7 linked regions of the Callithrix jacchus genome follow. The protein of the gene in region 3 interacts with the protein of the main gene of each other region in a pairwise test. Links are inferred from orthologs where the notes say so. Each region holds a gene or a part of one and is shown on either strand. Other genes may lie near its edges. The genes, in order: SMARCB1, MRPL44, VIM, PNMA5, ESS2, FABP4 and SIRT6.

Region 1 (3,763 bases), on a different chromosome or scaffold from region 3:
TGGTGTTCAGGGCTCAGAGGCACAGGGCTTTATGAACATGATCGGGGATTGGGGTGCCCTCATTTCTCTAAAAGGAGGCAGAAGTCCTCAGAAGGGCTGGGCTCCGAGGCAGTGGCGAGTTCTCCATGCAACTGCCCACCCTGATCCTCGACTTCAAAGCTAAGGGCCAACAGTGAATGGGAAGGTGCACCATGGCCTCCTTGCCCCGTGGGGCACTGGACAGCAGTGAGGGATGACTCCAGCCCTACACTCTAATGGGAGGAGCTTTGCAGGCATACACAGAGGGAATGAAACTGGACCCCAGGGTCCATCCTATTCAGAACAGCCATACTTACTCAGGGGGAGCGAAGTCAAGATGGTGCTGCCTCAGTGGGGCAGGTGTAGGTGGGAGATCCTAGGGTACAGTCTGTTCTCTCTGGCTGGGTGCTGGCTTCCCAGGTGTCCACTTATGAAAAATCCCTGACTGCACATGCGGGGCCTGGGCCCTCTGGCTGTGAGTCATGTGCCGCAGGAGTCCTCTGGGGAGTGTGGGAGCAGCTGACTCAGCACTGCGCTCCCCGCAGGCTGCCCTGCTGCCTCACCATGTTGGCCCAGGGTGGAGTGCATCTGTGAATATGCTAGGCAGGGTTTTCTGAGAGGGGCAAGGTCTGTGAAGGGCATAGACTTTGGCTTAAGAGAGGGCTTAGGATTGCCTTAGCTGAACCCTGCTTGGCCAGTGTAGTCATGTAAGACCGATGGCAGCAGGAGTGAAGGGCAGAAAGGAAGGTCCCCGCCAGCATGGGGCACAGCGGGGATGGGATGAAGGTAAGGTGGGACTCAGGTGCTCCTGGGGCCACTTTGGGGCCTCTCGAGGGTGACCATGCTGGGCCCTGAAGCCAGAGCCCCTTGTGGCAGGCAGGAGGCCTGTGGGGTCAGCCCTGTTTTGGGGGTGAGGAACTGGAAGGACAAGGGCTACCTGCAGTTATCAGCTGGTGGATCCTGGTGGGCAGGGCACATCCCTGGTCTGGCAGGCTCCCCTACCCTTGTGGCCTCCCTGGGCTGGGGACAGTCCTGAAAGCTCTAACTTGTGTCCTTTGGTTGTTGCCTCAGCTGAACATCCATGTGGGAAACATTTCCCTGGTGGACCAGTTTGAGTGGGACATGTCAGAGAAGGAGAACTCACCGGAGAAGTTTGCCCTGAAGCTCTGCTCGGAGTTGGGGTTGGGTGGGGAGTTTGTCACCACCATCGCATACAGCATCCGGGGACAGCTGAGTTGGCATCAGAAGACCTACGCCTTCAGGTAGGATCATGCACGAGTCTCTCCTTCCCTCCCTCATCTCCCTGCAAAAGTGTTTTGAGAAGGACTTGTCTGTGTGAGTGGTGACGCCTTCGAGGCTTTCTCAAGCTTTGCAGCACCATCTTGCTGGGGTCTGTGTGTTTGCTCTGTCCTCCGTCACCCTGTGTGTCTCACCAGTACTCTGCTCTGCCAAGTAGGGTTGGAAGCACCTAACACAATAGCTGGCAAAGACTTGAAGCTCTGTCAGGGTGAATCTCAAGTCCTCACCTCCAGGGAGCCCTGGGCCCACCCTTGCCATCCACCATTCAGCCATCCTGCCTCACACCCTCTCTCTGCTCTTGCCCAGACTGTTATTTGGTCAGGATGGCCCCTGCCCAGGATTCTTCATCTGTTGAACTTGAATTCTATCTTAAACACAAAGGCCCGCCCCAGCTCTGGAGAGTCAGGGGTCCCCTAGCAGCTCCTTCTTACTGCAGTGTCTCTGCCTTCGGTCAGTCAGAGAGCATTTGGTGAGTACCATGCTGGACTGGACCCCATCCTGGCTGCCCTGGAAGATAGAGACAGGTCACCTTGATCCCTGCCTGTAGCATTTGGGCTGGCTGAGATGGTGGAGGTGCAGACAGAACATTCCAGTCCAGTGTCCTCTGTGCAAGGGTGGGGATGGACCCAGGGGAGGCCCTCCTGTTCCTGGTAGGAGGTAGGAGTCAGAGTTAAAAGCGAGGTCAAGGCCCACTGCGGTGACTCACACTTGCAATCCCAGCACTTTGGGGAGCTGAGGTGGATCTCCAGAACCCAGGAGTTTAAGACCAGCCTGGGAAACATGGTGAGACCCCATCTCTATATAAAAAATACCAGAATGAGCCAGGCATGTTGGCGCATGCCTGTAGTGTCAGCTACTCAGGAGGCTGAGGTGGGATCACCTGAGCTCAGTAGGTCGAGGCTGCGGTGAGCCAAGATCATGCCACTGCACTCAAGCCTGGGTAACAGGGTTGAGTCTTCAAAAAACAAAACAAAAGCAAAGCTGAGCTGTCCTGGCTCAGCAGGACTCCAGGACTGGGAAGCCCTGTGGTTCCTAACCCTGTCCTCTGTGTTGGGTTGGGGGTGCAGTGAGTATCCCTACATCAAAACAGGATGTTCAGATTTAGTCCGCTCATCAGACTATCATCATCCACATCTGCAGTCACCACGTAGGGATGACAGCTTAAAATGCTACACTGAGGAACAAATAGGAAGGTCTGTTTTGCAAAGCCATGGCAATTAATGGGGCTTATTGGGATTGCGTCTGGCTTGTTTTCCCAGACATCCCGAGAGACAGCTTTCTGTGACTTCCTGTAAATCTGAGCAAGGAAGAAGGAATGAGAGCCACCCACGAGGCTCAAGAGCCCTGGGCCTGAGAAACAGCTGGGCCCCTGCCTAAGCGCCAGTGGTTTTGAGATCCTGTGACCTGCCCCCAGCAGCCCTGCCAATCACATGGTTCTGTTTCACAGATAGGGCAGCCCTGAGAGGCGGCTGGGGGGCTGGTGTCTGATACCTCCCTCTTCCCTCTGGGTGCCGCCTGGGAATACAGCTTTAGTGTCCATTCACCCTGCATGGAGCCATGCCCTGTGGCCGGAGAGCCAGTAGGGTGGCCTCACTCCACGAGAGTTGACTCTGCGGTCCCGGGAGACAGTGATGTTGCCCACGTCGACACTGAGCACCTCCTCCCCCAGAGGCCGATCCAGTCGGAACCCTCATTCTGGGCTCGAAGGTGCGGGTGGCAGACTAGCAGCTCCCAGCATCCAGGCGCTGACGGTGTCGACCCTCACCCAGCCCTGCAGCTGCAGACAGTGCCCACAGTGTGGGCTCAGGAGCTGAATTCCCCAGGGCCTCTTGACAGGTCCTCAGAGCATTCTTTCCTTCAGCCACCATAGCACCATCCCTCCTGCTCTGAACTGAAGGTGCCCTGAGCCCAAATTCCTTGCCAAGCTCCAGGCCCTCTGCAGTTTGCAGAATGGCTTCAGAGCAGGTCCCTTGGGGAGTCCCTGGTGGTGGCAGGTCAGGACTTATAGGCAGATGCCCTCTTTATCTTAGCTACCACCTAATGAGTTCCAATTGTGGAGCTTGAAGACATCATAGACCCTGCCCGCTGTTGTCTCTCATGCTGATTGTGCAGTTTTCAAATCTTTGAGGTTGAAGGCAAGGCCACCCTGCTGAGACCAGGGTGAGCACATGTCCCCATCACAGCAGCCGGGTGGGAGGGGCTTGGGGACCTGGGAAGTGTCCTGAGTGGCCTCTTAGCATTAGGAGGGCTGCGTGTGTCTTCCCACTCCCCGCACTAGAAGACAGCTGCAAGGACAGGACAGGACAGGACAGGACCTTAGGGATGGGCTGGCTCATCCTTGACTCCAATCCACGTTCCCTCCACTGCACCACCCCACCCCATGGGATCTTAGGAGGGACTTTTTTTTTTAACTCTGTCCCCAGGGAGACGAGTGTCAGTCCTGCCT
Region 2 (3,763 bases), on a different chromosome or scaffold from region 3:
CCTGCCTCCATCCATCTTGTTATCATATTGCTAATGTTTGTTGATACAAGTTAATTGGAATATGTAAATTGCTGTGAAAATTAACATTTGCTTCCATAATTTCTATACAACATTATGTTTTTTACTGGCAAAATCAATTCTGCTTTGAATGTTCATAATTTCTCAGTTATCTTAGTCATCTAAATAATTAATAGTATGTCGTGGTTTTAAAAGATAGTTTATGTGAAATTATTAAATGATTTTTTAAAAATTATTTTTTATTATTGTTTTTTGAGACAGAGTCTTGCTATATTGCCCAGGCTGGAGTGCAGTGGTGGCACGATCTTGGCTCACTGCAGCCTCCACCTCCCTGGTTCAAGTGATTCTCCTGCCTCAGTCTCCCTTATAGCTGGGTTTACAGGCATGCACCATCATGCCCAGCTAATTTTTGTAATTTTAGTAGTGAGAGAGTTTCACCATGTTGGCCAGGCTAGTCTCCTGGCCTCAAGTGATCTGCCTGCCTTGGCCTGCCAAAGTGCCAAGATTACAGGTGTGAGCTACTGTGCCTGGCTGAGTTTTTAAAAACATTATTAATGGAGGAGGTATTTTTATTTGAGTGCCATTTTACATGAGTTTCTATCAAAAGTTATTACTTTTTATTTGTTAACTCGATTCTTTAAGTATTTTTTTCTTACCTGTAGGAATATAATTCTAATTTACAAGATAGGGCAGGGCGCGGTGACTAATCCCTGTAATTCCAGTGCTTTGAGAAGCCAAGGCAGGAGGATCCTTTGATGCCAGGAGTCGAGACCAGCCCCAGCAACTTACGGAGACCTCATCTCTATAGAAAGTTTAAAAACTAGCCGGGTATGGTGATTGCTTGAGCCCAGGAGGTTGAGGCTTCAGTGCACGTGAGATCAGGCTTCTGCAGTCTAGCCTAGGCAACAGAGTGAAGCCCTGTCTCAAACAAGAAAAAAGGAGTCTTCCTGCTGTGGCATTTTGGTGGATCATACTGCTTGAAATAGGTTTCTCGGGCTTTCAATTTTTTTTAAGCCAATTATGATTTTTGTAATAAAATTTATGTAAAAACTATGGGAATGAAAGAGAATCGCACATTTTTGTCTTTCATTTCCCATTGTTTTAAATTTCTGTTAACAATGTACTTTGTTACTTTTCTAATTTAAAAAGTGTAAAAAATGTATTTTGAATTGTGGTCCTAGTGTTCTTTATACTAATTAAAATGTATAAATTATATTTTTATATGCAGGACTTCTTAATTACTCAAATGACTGGAAAAGAGCTCTTTGAGATGTGGAAGATAATAAATCCCATGGGGCTATTGGTAGAAGAACTGAAGAAAAGGAATATATCTCTTCCTGAATCAAGACTGACTAGGCAGTCTGGTGGCACCACAGCTTTGCCTTTGTATTTTGTTGGCTTATACTGGTTAGTGAAATTTTAATCTTTATAACTTTGAGGAAATCCTAAAAACAGACTCCTCACAAAGCCTTAAAAACAGACTCTTCACATTCCATAACGAATGTTAACATAACCTCTTAAAATTCCTTCATTTGAATTGCATTAAAAGATTTTTTTAAAAATCTCTTCCCTGTGGCTATTTACTGCTCCCTTTCCTGCTAGTTATTCTTAGGAGGAATCTGAGTTTTGCTAATTGTAGCTTTTGTCTGCCAACTATTTACCATAGACTTTCAGTATGTTATCTTAAATTTTTCTGTGTAAAATTACAAATGAGGCCAGGCACAGTGGCTCACGCCTGTAATGCCAGCACTTTGGGAGGCTGAGGTGGGTGGATCACAAGGTCAGGAGTTCAAGACCAGCCTGGCCAGCATGGTGAAACCCCGTCTCTAGTAAAAATACAAAAAATTTGCTGGGTGTGGTAGTGTGCACCTGTAATTGGGAGGCTGAGGCAGGAGAATTACTTGAACCCAGGAGGCGGAGATTGCAGTGAGCTGAGATTGCTTCTCTGTACTCCAGCCTGAACGATAGAGTGAGACTCCATCTCAAAAAAAAAAAAAGTACAAATGTTGACTTCATGTTGCATTTAACCTTAATCCATTCTTGTCAGTAGCTTCAACCGAGCCTAGAACTGGAAAAGGAAGGGCTTAGGTGTCCATCAAAATGTATAAATCACCCCATGTTGAGAGCTTTTTAGTTTTGTTAGTAAAAAGTTGACCTGCCCCAAATTAATTTCAGATGTTAAGATTAAAGTGTTAAGTGTAAATATTGAATATTTTTTAAAAAGCTAGATTAAAATTTAGTAAAGATTTTTCTAATCCTTGTATCACAAAAGACTAAAAGTATAAAAGAAATAGAAGTTACCACATGGGGAAAATTGATAGTGCTGTAAAAAGTTTCCTTTTCAGTTTACTCCTTGTTACTTATCTGATCGGCAGACCTTTTAAACATATCTTTTGTCACCGGTTTATTCACTGCTGGTAGAAAGACAATGTACTCAGTATTTCTGTGAATAATTTTGACAAAATGCCAAGCATCTTAACATTTTTTATGTTCTTTGATTATGGTATTTCAATTTTTGGTTGTTTGCCGTAAATTTGCAGGCAAATTTTGTGAACAAAGACATTTGTTGTTTTCATACCTTGAACAGTTGCTGGGACATGGTGGTCAGTAAAGAGTTGTCGAACTAAAAAAATAAATAAATAAATTAGAAATAAATGTGGTATTCCACAAGAGAGAAATGATATATGCACATGATGACTATAGTACAGCTGTTATAGGTGACATTTTAAAGGAATTTTTAATGAGATCAGGACATTTTGGAGAATGATCTTTTATCTAAAAAAAAATGTAAGAAGTAATTTGCCATATTACTACAGTGATTACTATTGGGTAGTAGTGTTTTTGTAGATCTAATGTTCTTTTTTTTAAATTTTAATTTATTTATTTATCTTTTTTTTTTTAATTTTTTGAAGAGGTCTTACTATGCTGCCCAGTCTGGTCTTGAACTCCTGGGCTCAAGCAATCCTGCTTTGGTCTCCCAAAGTGTTGGTGTTACAGGTGTGAGCCATCACACCTGACCTAAAGTTCCTAATTTGAAATATAGAACTGGTTTCTCATTTGTGTTCAAGTTTAGATGGCAAATTCAAAAGTCATAATTTTTTCAGCGGAATATTTTCCCAAGTTATATCACACATTAAAAATATGAACAGTCATAATTCCTGATAATATTTTTAGTAGTTTCAGGTTTTTGGAAGGAGATATTTGTTTCCATATTCTTCCAATTTTCATCAACAATTGAAAATGTAGATACTACTTGCTTTTTTGGACTTTAAAAATAGAGTTGTATGTATTTCTAAGGAAATGAAAATGTATCTTTGTCTAATTACCATATGTAATGAACTTGCAACAAAGCTCGTTAAAATCCAAAAGGTGATCTATCAAAGCTATTGTGTTACTTCTAATGGGTGTTATTGAAATAAGATGTAGAAAGCATAATTGCTTTATAATTGCTTTGTGTACTGTCTTATCATGTTCCAGGTGATTTAAGACAACTGTTTGTTCTCTTTCTAGTGATAAAAAGTTGATTGCAGAAGGACCTGGGGAAACAGTGTTGGTTGCAGAAGAAGAGGCTGCTCGGGTGGCCCTTAGGAAACTTTATGGATTTGCAGAGAACAGGCGGCCTTGGAACTATTCCAAACCAAGAGAAACGTTGAGAGCACAAAAGACCACTGCCAGCTAGCCAGCCATGATGTGGAGCCTGAAATGTGAGAGCAAAAGTCAGATAAATGTCAAAGGTGTTTCAAGC
Region 3 (3,388 bases):
GAACTTCTAAAAATTAAGTGTGACGCTGTGCTTAGAGCCCAATGGTTCCTGCATCCAAGCCTGAGCTCCTACCTGCTCTCCTCGCCTTCCAGCAGCTTCCTGTAGGTGGCAATCTCAATGTCAAGGGCCATCTTAACATTGAGCAGGTCTTGGTATTCACGAAGGTGACGAGCCATTTCCTCCTTCATGTTCTGAATCTCATCCTGCAGGCGGCCAATAGTGTCTTGGTAGTTAGCAGCTTCGACGGCAAAGTTCTCTTCCATTTCACGCATCTGGCGTTCCAGGGACTCGTTCTGCAGGAGGTGAGAAAGGTTTCTGGTGTTATTGCTCAGAAAAACCCAGCTATTCCCAGAACCATTTAGTCTTCTTGCAATAATTTCCATTAGTGGCAAATGACAACTACTCTAGTCGTAGGCGGAGAATGCAAGTACCAAGTCCTTCATATGAGAAGCAATGATATACACAAGCTAAAACCTTCAAGAGCGCCATCAAGTCCTTTTTGAGTTTGTCGTGATAAGTCATTTTCTTTGCATTACCGTATAAATTTTTATTCACTCAACATTTTGTTCAGGCTTCGCCATTAGCATAGTCAGCAGAATGGGTCATTATTTCCCCTCTTTTACTGCAGGGTTGGTACTCACGGTTCCTTTAAGAGCATCCACTTCACAGGTGAGGGACTGCACCTGTCTCCGGTACTCATTGGACTCCTGCTTTGCCTGGCGTAGGGCATCATTGTTTCGGTTGGCAGCCTCGGAGAGGTCAGCAAACTGTCGGGGAGAAAACAGAAATGTACATTGCTCCCATTCAAGTCTTGACTCTCTTAGAAAAAAAAGATCATATTTCCCACTGAATGTCTTCCAGTATAGGCTTAAATTTCTGTTTTGAAAGCCAGAGAAAGAGCAGTGGAACACTGACATTACTATCTTCAGAGTTCACTCTACTGTACTCATTTAAACACAGTGGAGGTCAAAGTATGGCATTGGGGTTTACTTGGAGGCACGGTTAAGAGGAAGGGAATCTGCTATTCTGAAGGAGGTGATATGGCCAGGAGTGGTGGCTTATGCCTGTAATCCCAGCATTTTGGGAGGCTGAGGCAAGGCAGATCACCTGAAGTCAGGAGTTCAAGACCAGCCTGGCCAACATGGTGAAACCCCATCTCTACTAAAAATACAAAAATTAGTCGGGCATGGTGGTGCTCGCCTATGGTCCAAGCTACTTGGGAGGCTGAGGCAGGAGAATTGCTTGAACCCGGGAGGTGGAGGTTGCAGTGAGCCAAGATGATGCTACTGCACTCCAGCCTGGGCAGTAGAGCAAGACTCCATCTCAAAAATAAATAAATAAATGTGAGCAACAAGTCAAAGCCAGCTTTTAACTGGAGCTACAGGATAGGAATTACACACAGGAATGGTGTTTTGAGAACTCAATGCTTTTCTTCTGTGCAGGCCACAGGGACTTGTTTCCTACCTTAGACTTGTACCATTCTTCTGCCTCCTGCAGGTTCTTGGCAGCCACACTTTCATACTGCTGACGTACGTCACGCAGGGCAGCCGTGAGGTCCGGCTTGGAAACGTCCACATCGATCTGGACATGCTGTTCCTGAATCTGAGCCTGCAGCTCCTGGATTTCCTGCAAAAAAAAAAAAAAAAAGCAGATAGAAGGTCAGCTGTGCCAACTGTGGGGGTTGCCTTACCTTCATTCATTTCCCGAAAGACACTCTACTAACCTCTTCGTGTATTTTCTTCAAAAAGGCAATCTCTTCTTGCAAGGATTCCACTTTGCGTTCAAGGTCAAGACGTGCCAGAGACGCATTGTCAACATCCTATTTTGAACAGAGAAAAGACAGGACATGGAGGATGTAAAAGTCTATGGCTTCTCTCACTTATTCATCTTAGATTAACCATCTAAACCTAGTCTCCTTACTATAGAAAAGGTGTTGACAAATTTTACCACCCTTGAGTAAGTTTAGAAATCATTTAGTGCTATCATATGCTACGCTTTCTCCTGCTCACTAATAAATTTTAATCATGACCCCTTGTGTTTTACTCAAGGTGGTGATCAGACAATTTTAAAATAAATAAATGTCTACAAATGTGGTAAACTGTACGCAATCATGACTGAATCCACATTTTACCAGTGACATTTTAAAATTACTTTTTAAGACTCAGAGTAGTGGCTCATGCCTGTAATCAACAAAATCCAACCTGTATAGATCAGGGGTCAGCAAACTGCAGCCCGTGGCTGTCTGTTTTTGTAAATAAAGTTTTACTGAAGGCTGGGCATGGTGGCTCATGCTTGTTAATCCCAGCACTTTGGGAGCCAGAGGCAGGGGATCACCTGAGGTCAGGAGTTCGAGACCAGCCTGGCCAGCATGGTGAAACCCCATCTCTACTAAAAATACAAAAATTAGCTGGGTGTGCTGGCACACGCCTGTAGTCTCAGCTATTTAGGAGGTTGAGGCAGGATAATTTCTTCAACCTAGGAGGCGAAGGTTGCAGTGAGCCGAGATCGTGCCATTGCACTCAAGCCTGGGTGACAGAGAAACAGTCTGTCTCAAAAAAATTAATTTAATTTAATTACTTTTGAAATCTAGAAAATCTCTGTCATAACATTTTTAAGATTGGTTTTGTAATTTCATGGAATAACATGATAATAGACATGGACAAAATTTCACAACTTCATGTACACTTGAGCACATAAAGAACAGAAACTCATGCTTTAAGAGTTTAAGTTTTTTTCTCCACTAGAATCTTCTGAATCTCATCCTTAGGCTCCAGAGCAAATATGTAGCCATCTGGCATCCATTGTACAAGGCTAGATTTATATTCAATAATAGCCCAATTCAGGAATATGGGCATTGCCTAAGATTCAGTTCAGGAAAAAATGGAAAAGACACGTAATTCTTAATGTATTTGCTTTGCTTTCTCTGATGGAGTTTTCTTCTAAAACTCCTTTGGCTCCTCTCATAAAGGCATGTCTTTTTCACTTGCTACTGTATCAGTTCAGTTAGCCTGTTTCTGAATCACTGACCAAGCTTGCAGATAATGAAACTACATGAATTTTTGCTGATTCAGCTGTCCTTCTATGTTTCCATTTGTAAAGGGCAACATTCCAAATCAGAATATGTACTTTTGCAACTAAGATTTTATTTTCTCTCTAAAGGATGCATGAGGATTGCTTATCTTGTCAGTAATTATATTTGGAGTTCAGTTTATACTCTTAGAGTATTAAACTGTTGAGACTTTTCTATCATCTTTGGGAAAAAATGAATGAAGAGTGGGTGATAAAAAGATCCAACTTAATGAAAACATTCATTTTTACTTGGTAAGCCCTAAAAAAGACATAACAAATATTTTACTAACCTCTCAAAAAAGATCAATAGCGTATTCTA
Region 4 (4,560 bases), on a different chromosome or scaffold from region 3:
ATCTGCCCACTTCAGCCTCCCGAGGTGGTGGGATTAGAGGCCTGAGCCACCATACCTGGGTGAAGAAGGTGGTGTCTGCAAATGTCTTGCTCAGTGACCTTCAATGTAAAATGTTTTCTGTTTTTAAGACATTTATTAAAACATTACCCAAGAAAGCTTGCTCTTTTTTTAATCACTAATAAAGAAACACACATATATTCTCTCACCACAGGTCCATAACTTCTGGCCCTGAAGCGTAATCATAGCCTTCAGACCATTGCTACACACAGCCTGGGCAGGGGTAGGCAGCAAGTCACCCGGCTTTCAGCAGAATCAGTCCTGCACTAGGCCTCCTCACTGAGAACTTGCATTTTTTAAAGATTGCCAGGGTATTTGTGTGCATCTTGAAGTAGGCCGTGAAATCAGGAGAATAATGGGAGAATAGAGTATTTTCAGTCATCTGGCTCTAAGTAAGCAGAAAAAAAAAATTATGGCCTTGTGAAATGCAGGCCGTAGCTGTATTTTTTACCTTCCTACCCCAGAACGCAGTCCAATAAAAAATACACAGGTGCTATGAGTTTCAGGTAGTAAGTAGGCTCACACCCCCTATTCATTATACGTGGCCTATATGCTGCACCCAGTGATGTGAACCAGGTCCTTCAGACACTGCTTGGGACACCACAGCTCCCCTCCAGTGGAAAAGAACCACAATGGCTGCTGGGACACATGGTAAATGAAGAGCCTGGGTGCCACCGTCGTCTAGCTAGTAAACTACAGGCGTGGGAGGTAGTCTGCAATGGAAGTGGCACCCAGTTGTTTTTATTGTCTGTTCTAAAAGGTGCGGGCTGGCACAGGCTCGCACGGGTGGTAGTGGGGTGGTGAGGACCCGTCGCATGGGAAGTAGGAGGGTTTGTGTCATAGGTGAGGAACTGTGAGTGGGCTGTGTGGAGTTACAGTGGGGGAGGGGGCGGTCATCACCCGATAGCCTCTTCCCGCGTCAGGTTGAAAAGGGGTGTGTGACTTTCAGGTAGTACACACGCTCACTTGGCCTATTTGTTACACATGGCTTATATGTTGTACTCGGTGATTTGCACCTGGCCCTTCACACACGGCTTGGTACGGCATAGCTCCCCTCCCACGGGAAAGAAACAGAATGACTGCTGGGTGACGTGGCAAGTGGGGAGAATAGCTGCCGCCATCGTCCAGTCAGTAAACTATAGACTTCCGAGCTAGTATGCAATGGAAGTAGTTCCCAACTGTTTGTATTGTATTTCCTCAAAGGTGAAGGTTGGCGCAGGCCGGCACAGTCTGGCAAGGGTTGGGGTGGGGTAAGGAATTCTTGATAGGGAAGTAGGAAGGTTTATGTGGCCACTGCACAAATGTGAAAGAGCCGTGTGAAGTTTTGCTAGGGTGGGGGTCATCACCCAAAAACCTCTTCCCGCCACAGCCTTTAACAGGATCTGTGATGTTGAGGTAGTACGTGTAGTCATGTGGCCTATTGGGTACATGTGGCGTGTATGAAGAGACTGGTGCTACCGTTGTCCAGCCAGTAAAGTACAGGCATCTAGTCTGTAATGGAAATGGCTGCCAGCTGTTTGTATTGTATGTTCTCAAAAGTGCGGGCTCGAACTGGTGGGGTGGGGGTGAGGAGTTGCTTGGCGCGGGAAATAGAATGCTTTATGTCACTAGTGCGCAACTGTGAGTGGGCCGTGTGCACTTCCGCTGGGCGGGGAGGCGTTACCAGACAACCTCTTCCTGTCATAGCCTGGAGGCGCATTCGGCACAGAGGCGGCAGCCGCCTTAGACGTGTGGTGGTCGCGCTGCGCGATCACTCCAGCTTACAGGCCTTTCTGACAGGTACGGAGCTGGGCCTGGTCATACAAAGCAACCTAGATTAGGGGGTATATCGCCAATAACTTGCTATTTTCCACAGGGCCTAGGAGTTGCTATCCATAGTTTTCCAGGCAGAACTTCTGGGAGACCTTAGGCTGGGCAGGCCGAGACGGGTGTATCACTTTAGGTGAGGAGGTATAGCCTACCCAAGATGGTGAAACTCCGTCTCTACTAAAAATACCAAAATTAGCCGGGCATAGTGTTGGGGACCTGTAATTCCATTTATTCAGGACAGTGACGCAGGAGAATAGGTTGAACCCTGGAGGCGGAGGTTATGCTGAGCCGAAATCATGCCTGCTGCACTCCAGCGTGGACAGCAAAGGGAGACTATTCGTCTCAAAAAGAAACAAATTAAAAAATACTTTCTGGAGGCCTGTTCCACCCTCAACTCTTGACCCTTGTCCGTGCAGAAGAGCGGCTTCGGATCTTCTCTCCTAGATCCTGCCGCCTTCCACTGGTGCTGGTAGTTGGTTTATGTAGATAACAGGGTAGAGATGGAGGGAAACGGGAACGGACGTACTGGATTTCGGTACAGGGGGTTAGACTTGTATGGCGTAAGTAGTTGGGCTTCGTGAGTGGTCACTCATTGCGGTACGGATTTGACTCTGGGTGCGGGCAGGATTGAGTTACGACTTAGACATGGGTGGGGGCAGGGTTGAGGCACGAGTTCGACTGTGGGTGCCTGCAGGATTGAGGTAGGAGTTAGACATTGGGGCACGGATGATGCACGACTTTGACTGCGTGTGGGGGCAGGGTTGAGGTAGGAGTTAGACATGGGTGGGGGGAGGGTTGAGGCACGAGTTCGACTGTGCGTGGGGGCAGGGCTGAGAAAGGAGTTAGACATGTGTGGGGGAGGTTTGATGCACGAGTTCGACTGCCAGTGGGGGCAGAGTTGAGGCACGAGTTAGACGTCGGTGGGGGCAGGGTTGAGGCACGAGTTCGACTGTGGTTGGGGGCAGGGTTGAGGTAGGAGTTAGACATGTGTGGGGGAGGTTTGATGCACGAGTTCGACTGCGAGTGGGGGCAGGCTGGAGGCACGAGTTGTACGTCGGTGGGGGCAGGGTTGAGGCACGAGTTCCACTGTGGGTGGGGGCAGGGTTGAGGTAGGAGTTAGACATGGGTGGGGGGAGGGTTGAGGCACGAGTTCAACTGTGAGTGGGGGCAGGGTTGAGGTAACAGACGTGGGTGGGGGCAGGGTTGAAGCACGAGTTAGACGTGGGTGGGGAAATGGGTTGGATTTCGTGCTGGTTGGGATTGCGGTAGAGGTGGATCTTAGGTGTACGCACGTGGACCTTGGCAACGTGTGGTGGTTATGGTGAGGTAGCTAAGCGATGCAACATGGCTGCAATGCCGTAGCTTCCGATCAACATGGCTGCAGGGGCGGAGCTTCGGACAACATGGCTGCAGGGGCGGAGCTTTGGAGCGAGTAGAGTTTGCAGTGGGGGTGGGACAACAACCTTATCCTACGATCCCTTCTGTCCTATCAGCAGCCCCCACCAGCCCCCACCCTCCACCTCCCTCACCATTCCTTCCCATACTCCCTCTTTCCGCACCCCTCCCCCTTCCTCCCTCCTCCTCCCTCTGCCAGTTGAGCAGTTTCTTCTGTGGCTGCGCCAGAGTACTACTGGACACCTTTGCAGAATCACAACTGCCGTGGCCTGAGCAGAGACGTGTGTGTGGGACACAATCACAACAAAATACCTCTGCTTTGCCTTGGACAGATCCAGAGAAGCAAGACCCGTCACTGCTAACTCAGTAGCTGCCTAACTGGACAGAGCTGAAGAGCGCAGCAAGTGTGAAGTGGCTGTTATTGCAGCTTCCACGCTGCTAGCAGAGCCAGCCCAGCAAGGTGAGCAGCTGTGAGGTGGGCTCTGGTGGGAGGGACTCTGGAACCTTGGCAAAGAGTGAGGAGACAGGACTCACTGCAGGGTTCGCAAACTCTGCAGGATAGGGCCATCGCTAGGGCAAGAGTTGTTCGTTTCCTGCAGTCTGGCAGTAGGGACCTTATCTGCGTCCCTTTTCTGCCCGATTTCACCTTCCACACAATTTAAACCATGAACTCCTGTCCTTCTTTGAGCACTCACTCCTCATGCCTACCTCCCCTTTCCTCACCTACCCTCCTTGTTGCTAGGATGCTGTATTGGATGAAGACCGATGACATCACCTGTTGCTTCTCAAGGGCCTTAGCCTCACCACATGACACTACCATACAATAGCAACCCATGGTCCATGGTATGCTCTGTATCCATGGCAACACTGCAGTTTCTCACACAATCTCCACACCCACCACTCATTTCATTGCGCAGAGCTCCGGCCATCTTTCTCCTCTGTCAGGCATTTCCTGAGAAACACGGCCACTCCACCTCTCCTGCAGCCAGCCTTCACTTCCATTCCAGCAAGGAGGGTGCCAGGTGACCTGAGCCCACATAGCCCTGAGTGAGCAGTGGGGCAGTCTCCTGACTTTTGCCTGGAGGGCTTGTCAGTGTCCTCAGGTGTCAGGCCCTGCCTCCTGACGTTGGCCTTTTCACTACAGGCACCTGCAGCACACCCGGCTGAGTCCTCTGGACATCGAGGAGGAACCCACAGCAGGAGGAGGTCAGCAGGGAGTGTGGTGAGGTGGGGGGATCTTTGCCTGGGGAGACCCACCACACTCTGTTCTCCACACAATGACTTGAGCCTTGGGTAGCA
Region 5 (3,301 bases), on a different chromosome or scaffold from region 3:
ACAGGACAGGTGCTCAGGCGCAGGCAGATTCAGGTGTGGCCTGGCCTAGTTGGGGACGAGAGGGCCTCTGCCAGGGTCCACCCACCAGGCCCCCACTGTCTCTCTTTGACCTGGCTCTATCCCCATTGCCCCCAGGCTGGCCAGCTCCAGAGGTCTACAGCTCCCCCTGGCCTCCTGCAGTTCAGCCTGCTCTGACCTGCCCCCGCTCCCTCACAACCTCTCCCTCAGCATCCTCCTCTTCCTCCATTTCCCAGTCATTTGAGATTTCTGTCCTCAGCCCTCACGTTGCCTGCCCTGCCCTCCAGGGGCAGCCCCAGCTAAGACCTCACCTCCCCTGTGCCCTCCCCGCCCAGTGGCCCTGTAAGCTGCTCAGCAGCCCTTGATGATGGTGCACTGGCTAGTCTTTCGTGCTTTCTGCTGGGTCACCCGCTGCTGCCGAAGCATGCAGCCCATTCGCCAGCCAAGTGCTGGAGGTGGTTAGCACCTAGACAGGGCTCCTCCCCACTCCCTAGGGACTCCCTTGAGATAAAAGCCACCCTTTCCTATGGGGTAAAGCACCAAAGGCCCCACCTTCCCCACTCATGAACAGTCCCAGCCTGATCTGTCCAGCACCCCTACGTCTACCTGCAGGTCCCAGGGCACATCTATTGCTCAGTTACCCCAGGAACTTGCAGGAACTCACTGTCGAGGAGCATAGGTTAGCAGTGGGCCCAGGAAGGTGGCAGAGTCAGGCTCTGTGCTGGCCTCCAGAGAACTTCAGCACTTAGGGAATGAGTGAGGGGACCAGAGAAGATCGCCTAGCACAGGCTGGGCACACTCAAAGCAGGAAGGACCCCGGTGTGAGTAGAGGCCAAGCGTGTCCCTGAGCAGCGACACCCCCACCCCGAGGGCACAATCTGTGACCTCCACACCTTGTCACTCCCACCAATAGGAGCCAGGCCTCTCTATCTCCACAGGAAGCAGGCTCAGTCCCCGCTTCAGTGACCAACTTAAAACACAAGGCCACCAGGCTCCTAAGGGTCTGGCACACACATCCGCTGCCCATGGCCAAGTGCTTCCACAGTGCACAGAGCATGTGCCAGGTCTGCATGGAGCCTGGGGCCCATGTTACTATTACCTGGGTGTTCCTATTGGTGGGAGTGACAAGGTGAGGCCAAAGCCAGCAGCATAAGATGGGCAGTGCCTGTAACAGAGGGCTGAGCAGAAAGGCAGGAAGATGAGACAGTCCCACCTCATCTGAGCTGGAAGCCAGGTGCTAGGAGAAGGTGATGGCTGAGGTCACCTGATATGCACTCCCAAACAGTCCTATAACCAGTGCACCTCACAGCAGGCAAGCCCAGCTTGGAGGCTGCAGACCTGGGCCCAGAGCCGCAGGTGAACCTGAGCGGTATAACTTCCAAGGGCTCCATCTCTCCTTCATATTATCCCCAGAGGAGCAGAAAGCACTAGAGGATGTGTGTGACCTCAGCTCAGAATTTAGGTTCCAGGTGCTGCAGAAAGCAATGCCAGAGTCACCCAGAGCTCCCACAGCCACCCCACCTGCAGCTTCCTTGCCTGGGGGGCCCCCTTGCTTCAAGCCCTGCAGTCCCGAGACGTGATGCAGGCCCCAGGGCAACCCTGAGGCTTGTGTGGAGAGCAGGACGGAGAGGAGATCCCACCAGACTGTACCAGGCGTTCTTTAATGACAGTTCAAGGGGCCGATTAAGTAGCAAACAGCTTGGAAAGGCCCTGGGGTGTGTGCCCTGTGCCAGCCTGGTTCCAGTACAGTCCCCTTCTCCAGTGGCTCCTGGCAGGGTCAACAGCTTCTGGCCCAGGCCTGGGTCCTGAGAAGGCTGGAGTCCTCTGCTGGGTGGACAGCTGCCCTGCAGATTCCATGAAGTGTCCATGGGCCCAGCTCCAGGCCTGGCTCTAAAAGAAGTCTGAGGCTTTGCGTCGGGCAGGGAGCTGCAGCAGGTTGTCCGTGATGGAGGCCGGGTCCTGCGTGAGGGGGGTGCGTGTGGCAGAGCCAGGTGCTGGTGTGCTTGTGGGGGTCTGCAGCCCACTGGCCGGGGTCTTGAGGTGGGTGGAGCGTGCTGGGGATGGTGTGTAGCTGGCCCGTAGGGCCCGGTCTGTGTACTTGCTGGCTGTCCTGCTCACAAGGCGCTGTAGGGCTGGGGACATGGCTGGGCTCAGGCCTTTGGGGGTGAGGCTGGGGTGGAGGGATGGGCGAGAGAGGCAGGGTTAGATGGGCAGAGAGCTGCCGACAGTAGGGCCTCCCTCAGCTCCCAGGAAGAGCCTGGGCAGAGACACAGCCACTCTGAGCTGAGGAGGACGGCACTGCCTGGCATGGTGCAAGTACCAGGGAGCCCCAAGGTCAAACGGCAGCGCTCAGGTCAAATCTGAGGTCAAACAGCATGCTGCCCTAGCTGTGGGGGCTGGGGTAGACCCACAGACCTCTGGGAGTTGGAGTCCCCACCCCTCTCCACGGGGAACGATGACTCTCTCCACAGGGCTGATGGAAGCTCCCACCAGGACCACACACCAAAAGGTGCCTCTTAGGGACGGGCCAAAGAGGATGTGGAGGAAAGAGAAGATGGAGGGGCCCTCGTCCTGTCCATGTGTGGCCAAGCTCTGGGTAAGAGGAGCTGCCACAGCACCCACTGAAGAACCCCGTGGATCTGCCCTGGACTCTGCCGCATGGGCCACGCCTCCACACGGTCAGGGCAAGGGCTGAATAGGAGCAGGCCAGGGCCACTCTCCCACTTCCCCAGCGGCCAGGAGGCCCCTCACCTGGCCAGGTTCTCCGTCACTCTCCGCAAAGCTTCCTGCTTCTTGGCCCGGTTCTTGGCAGCAGCCTCATTGGCCATCTTCAGCCCCAGCCGTTCCCGGCGGCCTGGCTCCAGGATCTACAAGGGATCAGACGTGGGTAGCTGTGCCAGGCCTGCCACATGGCAGTCCCTCATACAGAGAGCCACTGTTGTGGGCGCCAACCTCTCCCTGTGGCCTACACAATCCCCACAACCCACCATGACTTCCCTCTAAAAGCCCCTGGAAAGCCCCCAACCCCACCTGCCCTCTCCAGGGGCCAGCACTCCTCACCTATCTTCATGTTCCTCCCAAAGCCATGACCTCTGACAATCTCTCAGGAAAAAGAGTGTATGTTTTAGTGTTTCCCTGATTCTAAGAATGAACATCTCTGTCTTTATTGGCCCTGTCTATTTCGGGTGCAGATTCCCTGTGTGTCTGTGGCCTAGTTTGCTCTCAAGGGATTGATTTTCCCTTTCTGCTGCTGTCACTCAGAAGACCCTCACCTGTGTCAAGT
Region 6 (4,422 bases), on a different chromosome or scaffold from region 3:
AAAAATTAGCCAGGCATGGTGGTGGGCACCTGTAACCCCAGATGCTAGGGAGGCTGAGGCAGGAGAATTGCTTGAACCCAGGGGCGGAGGTTACAGTGAGCCGAGATCACATCACTGTACTCCAGCCTGAGCAATAGAACAAGACTTCGTCTCAAAAAAAAGAGAGATTTCTTCTAAGCAGTGGCGATTCAGAAAACAGGCGTGTACTCTGTGCCAGTTCCTTATTTCTTACCTTGACTTTTCTGTCATCTGCGGTGACTTCGTCAAATTCCTGGCCCAGTTTGAAGGAAATCTCAGTATTTTTAAAGGTGCTTTCAGACTTAATGGTAATTACATCCCCATTCACACTGATAATCATGTTAGGTTTGGCCATGCCAGCCACTTTCCTGGTGGCAAAGCCCACTCCTACAGTTAGGAAAAGAAAAGATGTCAGGTTTACATTTTCTCTAAGTCACAGAATGTGTTTGTGTACACAGGTGCATGTGTGTAAGAGAAAAAAGACACTAGTGAGTTTCTTAAAGGCCTAATTTAAACAGCTCCTGCAGATAAAATCAGGCTAATACTTAAAAAAAAAAAAAAAACAAACTAAAGCACAACCTCTGAGAAACAACAGGTGTAGGCCCTATTCTTTCAACTTCCCTTTCTCTGGTCTGGATGCAACTTCTCAGGAGACCCATTGTTTATTTTCAACAAAAATGTGTATAAAGTTTAAGTCTTTGGGAAGATATATATTTAAAATGTTAACCACTATTATTTTTCTCTCTTAAGAAAATACCCGAGGCCACTTGACCATTATATAGATACTCAACATTACATTTAAGAAGGGACAAATAATTTTCAACAGAATTATTTGACTAAATAATGTATAGTTATTTAGTTAAATGTTCGTCTGTTTTGAGTGTACAAAAATAACATTTCATAGCATTTGTTGCCACGTCTACATTTCTGTGCTTCTTTCTCAAAGTACCCCACCATGAAATGTAGATTTTGATGGATTTCATGGAAACAGAAAAGCCACCCATACTACTACAAAAGGAAAAATGTTTTCTGCATTGATAACGTTTTAGAATGGGGATATCATTCCTAGTAATTTATAGGGACATTTAAAAAGGCACTCGTTATCAAATTGTGAAAACTAACACTTAAGAAATCACTGTTTCTTAGTTTAGAATAGGTTAGAAGCCAATACTTGGATTTCCAGTCACCTAAGTTGTGAACTCTTCTTTCTTAAAAAGGAGAATATATTTTCTTGTGCAAGGTATGGAATGAATAATTTACATCCTAACATAGAAGTAACTTGCTGCTACTGTGTATGTCATGCAGAATTTATGACAGTCATTGATGTTTTGAATTTTTAAACATGTGCATGTAAATCTAAGCTCTTTCTTTGACTAAAGGCAACCAAAGGCTAGAAATTGGGGAAAACTGGGAGAGACATATGGTGCCAAATAAGTAATGCTGAGGCTCTGACTTAACTGTCTGAAACATGACCACAGGTTTTTCTTCAAGTCCTGGCTCTGTTACAAAATATAATATTAAATGTATGAAGTGAGCCGGCTTCATGAATGGAGGCAAAACTGAGTATGATGCTGGAATGGCTGACCTTGGGAAAAATCATAGACTTCATTTGCTTGATTTTGCTTTTATTTGAGTGATGAAGACAATACCTGCCCACTCATCCTCAATTAGAGCAGCTGATTTCATGCAGGAGGTATTTTATTGACCTTAATTATCATCAGTCGTCTATAATTTAAAAATACCGTATTATTAGAAAATATAACTATTAAAAGCATAAAAATTTTTCTAAAAATAAATAGTTAAATGGCCCCAAATCCTGGCATTTCTGTATCAGTGCATATGAATTAGTTTATTGAATCACTTTAGTTTATTCTAGAAACTTAGGTCTCTCTCATGCTAAAGTCAGCAATTTTCCTATCATCTAAAAACAAAAAAAAATACAGATAAGCAAAATACATATATATATTCAAAACACTTAACACGCCTGTACAGTACTGTTACATTCTAAACCCTAAGAAGGAGATTGCAGAAAATTCCTCCCCAGTTTATAACCCCAGTTCTGACTTTCATGGACTATCCTGCATGGGGTTGAGGGAGAAAGGCTTTCAAAGTAGAAGCTGCCTGAGTGAGAAGTTGCCTGTTTTGCTTTACCTCCATAGTTATCTGAGAGACATTTATCCAACAACCTGCTGACAATGTTATTAGCATCTAAAAAATTAAAAACCTACAAACGTAACATTCTCTTTTTAACTTACTTGATGATTCTACAGCATCCTATGACGTTTCTAGTGAAAGGAAGTATTTAAGCCCTTTAAGAAACACATTTTCTGAAATTAAGATTTTTGTCTATCATAAAACAACCACATATTTTAATGGATTGACATTGAGACAAGAGAATAATTGGCTAACATACAGTTACTGAAAAAGAGCCTTGCATTAAGGGAAACTGAGTGCTTTCAGTTTCAAATGAAAATTATTGCATATCATTTTTCCAAGTTATTGCTTATTTTATATGCAAAAGGGGAAGAAAGAAAAACATGCAGAGAGCTATGTAAACCAAAGATACTCTAGTTTTGCAATTAAAGTCGAATCTTGTTGTTTTTAAAGACCATAAACATTCCATTTAGACACTTTTTAAATATTGGTACACCTTTAGGAAGCATTAGTTGTAGCTTTGGTTCAGAATTTCTCTAGAAACAAATGATTATCACTTGCTATGTGTGGAGCCTCTCTGTAGAAAGCAGCATTTTCATTTCTGGCAGGAGCTTCCAGACACTGATGTAAAGACAGCTATAAACTCTTTTCCCCAAAAGAAAATGTTATAAATCCACTCATTCCCCAGTGCATTTCCTTACCTACTTCTTTCATATAATCATCAAAGTTTTCACTGGAGACAAGTTTCCAGGTACCTACAAAAGCATCACACATTTTGTGAGTTTTCTAGGATTATTCTTCAAGGTGAAGCTGCAGTTTTCAGAAGAATGCTGTGACCCTCTTGAGTCCAGATAACTTCCTTTTAAAGATGTTCAGAACATGTGATCTTAGGAATGACCAATTGGGAATGATACCCAATCATTTCCTTCATTACCGGACTCTGCATTTTTTTCTCTGAGTCATGTTTTTAATAGAAATTTCTCAACTTTGGTTATCCCTGGAAAATAGTCACTGGACTTAGAGTACAAATTATTTTTAAACCACTAACAGGATATTTTAAACATTCCTGTTTTGATAGCTTAATGCTCAGTGTATGAATTTTCCCCTATTATTTCTATACATACTTACCCCAGTGTAGAGAAGGGAAATTATTTTGAGATAAACTTTGACCTTCTTTTGTTTTTTTTTTTTTTAATTTAAATTGAAGTTGTGTGGTTCTTTTGAATTGAGAAACATAAGAACTGCCTTGGAGATTCTTACATAATTGCAAAGGCTCTTTGGGACAGTACTGTCTCAGAAATTACCTGGCAATTAAAACAAAATAAATAATGGCATTTAAAAGTACTCCATATTTCTAATTTCAAATGTTTTATATGATTTTAAGAGTACATTCAGTTGACCTACCAGGAATCTAGACTGTCGATTTTATTAAAATAATAATTTAACCTCATTCTTTCCATCTCCTAAATGAGAGCATAGCACTGATTTCACAGATCCTTTGAAAAATCAGCCACATTCTAAAATATTTTCCTCATACTGAGAAAATGCATTCAATTTCTGAACAGTATTATGAGTTCCAAATTTATGCAGATCAGAAATGGTGTGGTTGCAAACTACCAAAACCAATATCCTTCTTTTATACAGTGACCAATCTGTGAAATTAGTTTCCTAAAGTAATCATGGTTTTCAATTCCCTTCACCCCATGCAAAAATGATGGAAGATGTTCACATGTGCTGTAAATTCCCACGAACATACCCAGATTTGGTGGCAAAAAAAGAAAATAGTGTATTTCAGAGTGATGTGTCACTACACTGTGTATCCCACTGAACAGGACCTGCTGAGCATATGATTGATTCACAAGCCTGTGTAACTATCCCGAGGGCTTCCCAAAAATGTTTGCGGCAGGAGATTCTGTAAACAACAGGATTTTCTGTAGAAAAGCAAGTCGCTATGAAAGCCTGATAAAGTTAGTCTTCGCATTTATTAATGGCACAGTAATAACGCTCATCTACTCTGGACTGTTGCATAGGTACATAGACTTTGGCGATGTACCATCCAGGTAGGTTTGCTATTAGTGATTTGCCTGTTTCCCATTGAATAAGACCTTCAGGTGGAAAGTAAATAAAAGTGACAAATCTTAATAGAGGGATGTTTTTGATAATGTTTTAAATTAATTTGCCTCAGACAGGTTTTTAAATGATTGAATTTGAATACATACGATATGTATTGTAACACTGCAATTTGGTTTT
Region 7 (4,501 bases), on a different chromosome or scaffold from region 3:
CGTGCGCTCTCAAAGGTGGTGTCAAACTTGGGGGCCAGGCCCCGCTCCTCCATGGTCCAGACTCCGTGGGGACCCCTGAAGGTGGCAGGCCGGGAGAGATGGAGGGGGAGAGGGGAACAGAAAAACAGACGGAGAGAGAGAAAATCAGGAGACAGAGAGAGAGGCAGGGAGGCAGAGAGAGGGAGTCGGAAAGAAATAGAGGGTAAATTTGGAAGAACAGGGAGAGGGAGACAGAATAAGACAGAGACAGAGATATAACGAGTTAAAGACAAAGTCAAGTTAGAATTGGAGACAGACAGAGAGAGGGAGAGACAGAGAGAGGGAGAGATGAATTCACACGAAGGCAAAAATGACTTATTCAGTTCAATCAACTTGGTTGCTGCTGCCCTGAGCCTGGCAGGGCACATGGACCCAAGCCCTGCCCTCCAGAAACCCTTGATCTTGGGGGAGACAGGTGGACACAGACCCTCTGGCCCCACGGGGTCAAGACTGGATCAGAGGAGGTACCTGGGCCTGGGGAAGGCCAGTGGAGGTGGTGGGGACGCTGGGGCATGTGGAAGGGTTTCCTGGAGGAGTCTGAGCGTCTCTTGAAGGGTGAGAGGGAATATCAGACAGAAGGGGTAAACAGACGCCGGGGTGCTGGGAAGAACCCATGAGTTTAGGAGAAAATGCAAGTGTTTGGGGGCTGTAGCAGGGGCAGGAGGAGCTGACGCTGGAGAGGTGATTCGGGGCTGGGCCAGGAACAAAGGGCTTGAGCTTCCAGCACCAGGAATTCAGAATTCTTCCTGCCTGGTAATGGGGAGCCACAGCAGGTTATGGAAGAGGAGGAGGAGGAAAAATTCACGCCTTGGAATTCTGATTTTTTTTTTTTCCAGCCAGGTGTGATCAGGCCAAGGGGGTGAGTGGAATGCTGGTTGTGATTTCAAGGGACACGTCCTAAAGGGAGGGAATATCAGCCCTCCCCAGTGTCCAGGACACATCCAGAAGGAAGGAAGGAAGATGGATGGGCCCTAATGCCTAGTTGTGTGGCTCACGGGGAAGGCCGTGGCAGGCTGGTGGGCCTTGCCCCGATGTCCCCTGCACACTCACTCACAGACCTGAAGTCGGGGATGCCAGAGGCGGTGCTGATGCCGGCCCCTGTGTGAAACACCACGTTGGAGGACTGCCAGACCAGCCTCGCCAGCTCCCACACCTTCCGCTCCAGCTCCTCTGGGGGGTCGAAGATCTGTAGGGGGAAGGAGCAGATGGAGGGGTCAGAACAGGTCCCGCAAGTGGCCAGGCCATACACGAGCCACAGACCGAGCTGTCCCTTTCTTGCCTGGGGCAGGAAATAGATTGGAAAAGGCAGCTTGTCCTCATGTGTGTCCTCTGCCTACAGACCTCCGTGGCTCCCACCTGCCTTGTTAAAGCCCTAGCCCTGCCCCCTCATGTTCTCTTCTGCTCCCTTCCCAGCGTCACTCACTCTGATCCAGCCACGCAGGGAGGCCTCCTCCCTCTTCCTCCATCACGCCAGGCACAGTCCTGCCTCAAGGCCTCCGCACAGGCTGTCCCCACACCCTTGAGTGCTCTTCCCCCAGATACCCACATGGATGCCTCCTTCACCTCCTGTAACTTGTGGGTCAGATGTCACCTCAGCGACAGTGACGCCTCCCTTGGCCACCTGGTTTCCATACAACCCCTAGTCAGTCTCCCTTATTAGAAAGAGGGGTTAACTTGTCTTGCTCCTGACTGTGGCCCCCTTACCTAGAAAGTGCCTGACCCACAGCAGGTGCTCCATCAATGTTGGTGGAAGAAAGTGACTAACAGGCCGGGCGCGGTGGCTCACGCCTGTAATCCCAGCACTTTGGGAGGCTGAGGTGGGCGGATCACGTGGTCAAGAGATCAAGACCATCCTGGCCATGGTGAAACCCCGTCTCTACTAAAAATACAAAAATTAGCCGGGCGTGGTGGCGCGTGCCTGTAATCCCAGCTACTTGGGAGGCTGAGGCAGGAGAATTGCTTGAACCCAGGAGGTGGAGGTTGCAATGAGCCGAGATCGCGCCATTGCACTCCAGCCTGGGTGACAAGAGGAAGACTCCGCCTCAAAATAAGTAGGTAAATAAATAAAGTGACTGACAGCAGCAATGAAGAGCGCGGCTTCTGGACAGACACACCGTCAGCGCTCACTAAATGCAAGACTCGGAATGCATGGGTCAGCCTTTATGGGACGGGGCCATCTTCACGCAGGCGACAGCCTCCGCAGAAAGGATGGGGATGGGGACCCAGAACTGAAGTGACTTCCCACCGGGCGCGGAGGGGACAGCCGACCCCTCCACTTCCCCTCCGAGTGGCTGGAGGGATCTTCCTGGCACATTCTGTCCAGGCCCCTCGCCAGGGCAAGACCCTTCTCCATCCCCCTCGGGAGAAGGTGCCAACTCCCCAGCCTGGCATTTGAGCCCCGCCCTGGCCCGGCTCTGGAAACCTCCCCGGCCTAATCGTTCTCCAGGTGCGTTTATTCCACCACCCTGCCCTTGCGCCTGCCGTCCCCTCCTCCTGGAACTACACACCCCCGCTCTCCCCGACCAGCCCCGGCCGGTGGCCACAGAGTTGGGCGTGTTCGCGTCCCCGGGTGCGCAGGGGTGTCACTTCCCGCCCCTTCCTCACTGGGAAGTCCCTCCCATTGTCTAGCCTCAGTGTCTCCTGATATTCCCACAATGCCCTGCTGCCGTCCGGACCCTCCCTGCCAACGGCGTTGGGAGCGACCCTCGGGATCCCCGGATGCGCTCACCTCGGGGAGGCCGCACTTGCCCTTGTCCGCATACGGCGACAGCCCCGCAGCGTAATTCACCGACATCCTCGCCGCGCCCACGGGAACAATAAAGTTTCCCTTGTTGAGGCCGCTTCCGCCGGAAGCGGGGCGCGGCGGGGAGGAAGGAGGAGCCGCGTTCCTGTTCCGCGAACCCTGCCTCCCTCGGCAAGGCGCATGCGCCGCGTGCTGACGCCGCAGGAGCCATGTTAACTGCTGTCGGAAGGAAACCCGATTTCTTGGCTGCAGGCATTCTCGGGGTTTGGGAAGGGGCTGCCCGATGACCCGAGCGGGAAATTGGGGCGGCCGCCTACGTGAGAGTCCTCCAGTCACCTCTAAAATGAGGGACGCAGGCTATCGATGCCCCCATAACCCCGTTTTACGTGTTAGTAAATTCCATAAGGACAGTGCCAGACAGCAGGGACCCCCTAGTCCAAGGGTCTTGAATGCCACCCTGAATTATCTGAATTTTTTTTTTTTTTTTGTAAGACAACCTCGCTTTGTCGCCCAGGCTGGAATGCAATGGCGCAGTCTCAGCTCTCTGCAACCTCCTCCCGGGTTCAAGCGTTTCTCCTGCCTCTGCCTTCCGAGGAGCTGGGATTACACACGCCCACCACCGCGCCCAGCTAATTTTTTTTTTTCTTTTTTCTGATTTTTGTGTTTTTTAGTAGAGATGGGGTTTCACCATGTTGCCCAGGCTGGTCTCGAACCCCTCACCTCAGGTGATCCACCCGCCTCGGCCTCCCAAAGTGTTGGGATTACAGGCGTCAGCCACCGCGCCGGGCCAGGTTATCTGAATATCATACAAGTGGAGGCTCTGAATTTTGCAGGACACTTCCTGCTCGTGGTCACTGGGGCTGGTGGCCTGGAGGGCTTATTTAAGAATCATGTGTTGAGCACCTACTGTGCACTGGGCACACTGGGGAACAAAGATGGTACCGTCCCTGCCCTGGTGGCTGGGGGTGGACACAAAGATGTGATCAGGTAATGGTGACATGGTGTGGTTGCGGTGCAATGGGGGATGCAGAGGGCACAGGGCAGCGAGGGGGCTCACAGGAGGCACCTGACCCAGCTTGGGGGCATCCAGGAGGGCTTCCTGGAGGAGGGGATGTTGCAGCAAAGATCTAAAGAGTGCATGAGTCAGGTAGAGCCGGTTGGGAGTGACTTGAAATATAGAAAGAATGTTCCCAGTGGGGGAAACAGCAAGTGCAAAGGCTGAGGAGACAGGAAGAGCGTGGCTCCTTCCAGAATCTGAAATCAGTCCAGTGATGATAGGGAAGATCGTGGGTGTCTTCCCGCCAGAGCCGCTGCCAGCCTGTCTCCTCCCTCGGCTCATCCCCAGCCCCCTGGGGCGGCCGCCCGCTCAGAGCTGATCAGGTGTCAGAGTAGAGCTGCTGGAGCTTCTCGGGGCCCAGCTGGGAGTGGGTAACCGGAGTCGGCAGTGGGCACTGCGGCCGGGAGCTCGGGGCACTGGAGCTGCAGGAGGTACGGAGGAAGGAGGTGGGAGAGGCCCAGGTTGGAGGATCCCTTTAGGGCCCCAGGCCCCTGAGCCCTTGTGTGTGGGAGAAAGAAGCTGTGCTGGGTCCCAGCCAGGTTTCTGAGCTACCCAGGCACCCCAGCACACACATGCACTCATTCACGCACGCACTTCCCACCTGCTGGCCTGTGCCCTGCCTAGCATCCTCCAAGGCGGGTGCTCAGCATCCCACCCGGACA

Evidence for each region.
Region 1: the proteins of VIM (region 3) and SMARCB1 interact in binary tests that used the Homo sapiens proteins (3 or more experiments, as listed by UniProt). The link is inferred for Callithrix jacchus from reciprocal best matches to the Homo sapiens genes VIM and SMARCB1.
Region 2: the proteins of VIM (region 3) and MRPL44 interact in a two-hybrid assay, tested with the Homo sapiens proteins (2 studies listed by BioGRID and IntAct). The link is inferred for Callithrix jacchus from reciprocal best matches to the Homo sapiens genes VIM and MRPL44.
Region 4: the proteins of VIM (region 3) and PNMA5 interact in binary tests that used the Homo sapiens proteins (3 or more experiments, as listed by UniProt). The link is inferred for Callithrix jacchus from reciprocal best matches to the Homo sapiens genes VIM and PNMA5.
Region 5: the proteins of VIM (region 3) and ESS2 interact in a two-hybrid assay, tested with the Homo sapiens proteins (2 studies listed by BioGRID and IntAct). The link is inferred for Callithrix jacchus from reciprocal best matches to the Homo sapiens genes VIM and ESS2.
Region 6: the proteins of VIM (region 3) and FABP4 interact in a two-hybrid assay, tested with the Homo sapiens proteins (2 studies listed by BioGRID and IntAct). The link is inferred for Callithrix jacchus from reciprocal best matches to the Homo sapiens genes VIM and FABP4.
Region 7: the proteins of VIM (region 3) and SIRT6 interact in a two-hybrid assay, tested with the Homo sapiens proteins (2 studies listed by BioGRID and IntAct). The link is inferred for Callithrix jacchus from reciprocal best matches to the Homo sapiens genes VIM and SIRT6.

What each region holds. Positions count from the first base shown.
Region 1 is NC_133502.1:192,663,330-192,667,092, reverse strand, and holds part of SMARCB1 (SWI/SNF-related matrix-associated actin-dependent regulator of chromatin subfamily B member 1), read left to right. Parts: intron 1-1,089; coding exon 1,090-1,280; intron 1,281-3,763.
Region 2 is NC_133507.1:145,706,233-145,709,995, forward strand, and holds part of MRPL44 (large ribosomal subunit protein mL44), read left to right. Parts: intron 1-1,246; coding exon 1,247-1,425; intron 1,426-3,528; coding exon 3,529-3,697; 3' UTR 3,698-3,763. UniProt on the Homo sapiens protein: Component of the 39S subunit of mitochondrial ribosome. May have a function in the assembly/stability of nascent mitochondrial polypeptides exiting the ribosome.
Region 3 is NC_133508.1:18,041,820-18,045,207, reverse strand, and holds part of VIM (vimentin), read right to left. Parts: intron 1,820-3,388; coding exon 1,724-1,819; intron 1,627-1,723; coding exon 1,465-1,626; intron 768-1,464; coding exon 642-767; intron 294-641; coding exon 73-293; intron 1-72. UniProt on the Homo sapiens protein: Vimentins are class-III intermediate filaments found in various non-epithelial cells, especially mesenchymal cells. Vimentin is attached to the nucleus, endoplasmic reticulum, and mitochondria, either laterally or terminally.
Region 4 is NC_133524.1:149,111,157-149,115,716, reverse strand, and holds the start of PNMA5 (paraneoplastic antigen-like protein 5), read left to right. Parts: upstream 1-1,752; 5' UTR 1,753-1,836; intron 1,837-3,593; 5' UTR 3,594-3,721; intron 3,722-4,164; exon of another isoform or gene 4,165-4,308; intron 4,309-4,405; 5' UTR 4,406-4,467; intron 4,468-4,560.
Region 5 is NC_133502.1:210,759,764-210,763,064, forward strand, and holds part of ESS2 (splicing factor ESS-2 homolog), read right to left. Parts: intron 2,886-3,301; coding exon 2,770-2,885; intron 2,608-2,769; exon of another isoform or gene 2,496-2,607; coding exon of another isoform or gene 2,490-2,495; intron 2,189-2,489; coding exon 1,909-2,188; 3' UTR 1-1,908. UniProt on the Homo sapiens protein: May be involved in pre-mRNA splicing.
Region 6 is NC_133517.1:45,225,280-45,229,701, reverse strand, and holds the start of FABP4 (fatty acid-binding protein, adipocyte), read right to left. Parts: upstream 3,011-4,422; 5' UTR 2,947-3,010; coding exon 2,874-2,946; intron 1,736-2,873; exon of another isoform or gene 1,705-1,735; coding exon of another isoform or gene 1,668-1,704; intron 406-1,667; coding exon 233-405; intron 1-232.
Region 7 is NC_133523.1:3,924,646-3,929,146, forward strand, and holds the start of SIRT6 (NAD-dependent protein deacylase sirtuin-6), read right to left. Parts: upstream 2,858-4,501; 5' UTR 2,834-2,857; coding exon 2,768-2,833; intron 2,624-2,767; exon of another isoform or gene 2,547-2,623; intron 1,919-2,546; exon of another isoform or gene 1,744-1,918; intron 1,226-1,743; coding exon 1,098-1,225; intron 76-1,097; coding exon 1-75. UniProt on the Homo sapiens protein: NAD-dependent protein deacetylase, deacylase and mono-ADP-ribosyltransferase that plays an essential role in DNA damage repair, telomere maintenance, metabolic homeostasis, inflammation, tumorigenesis and aging.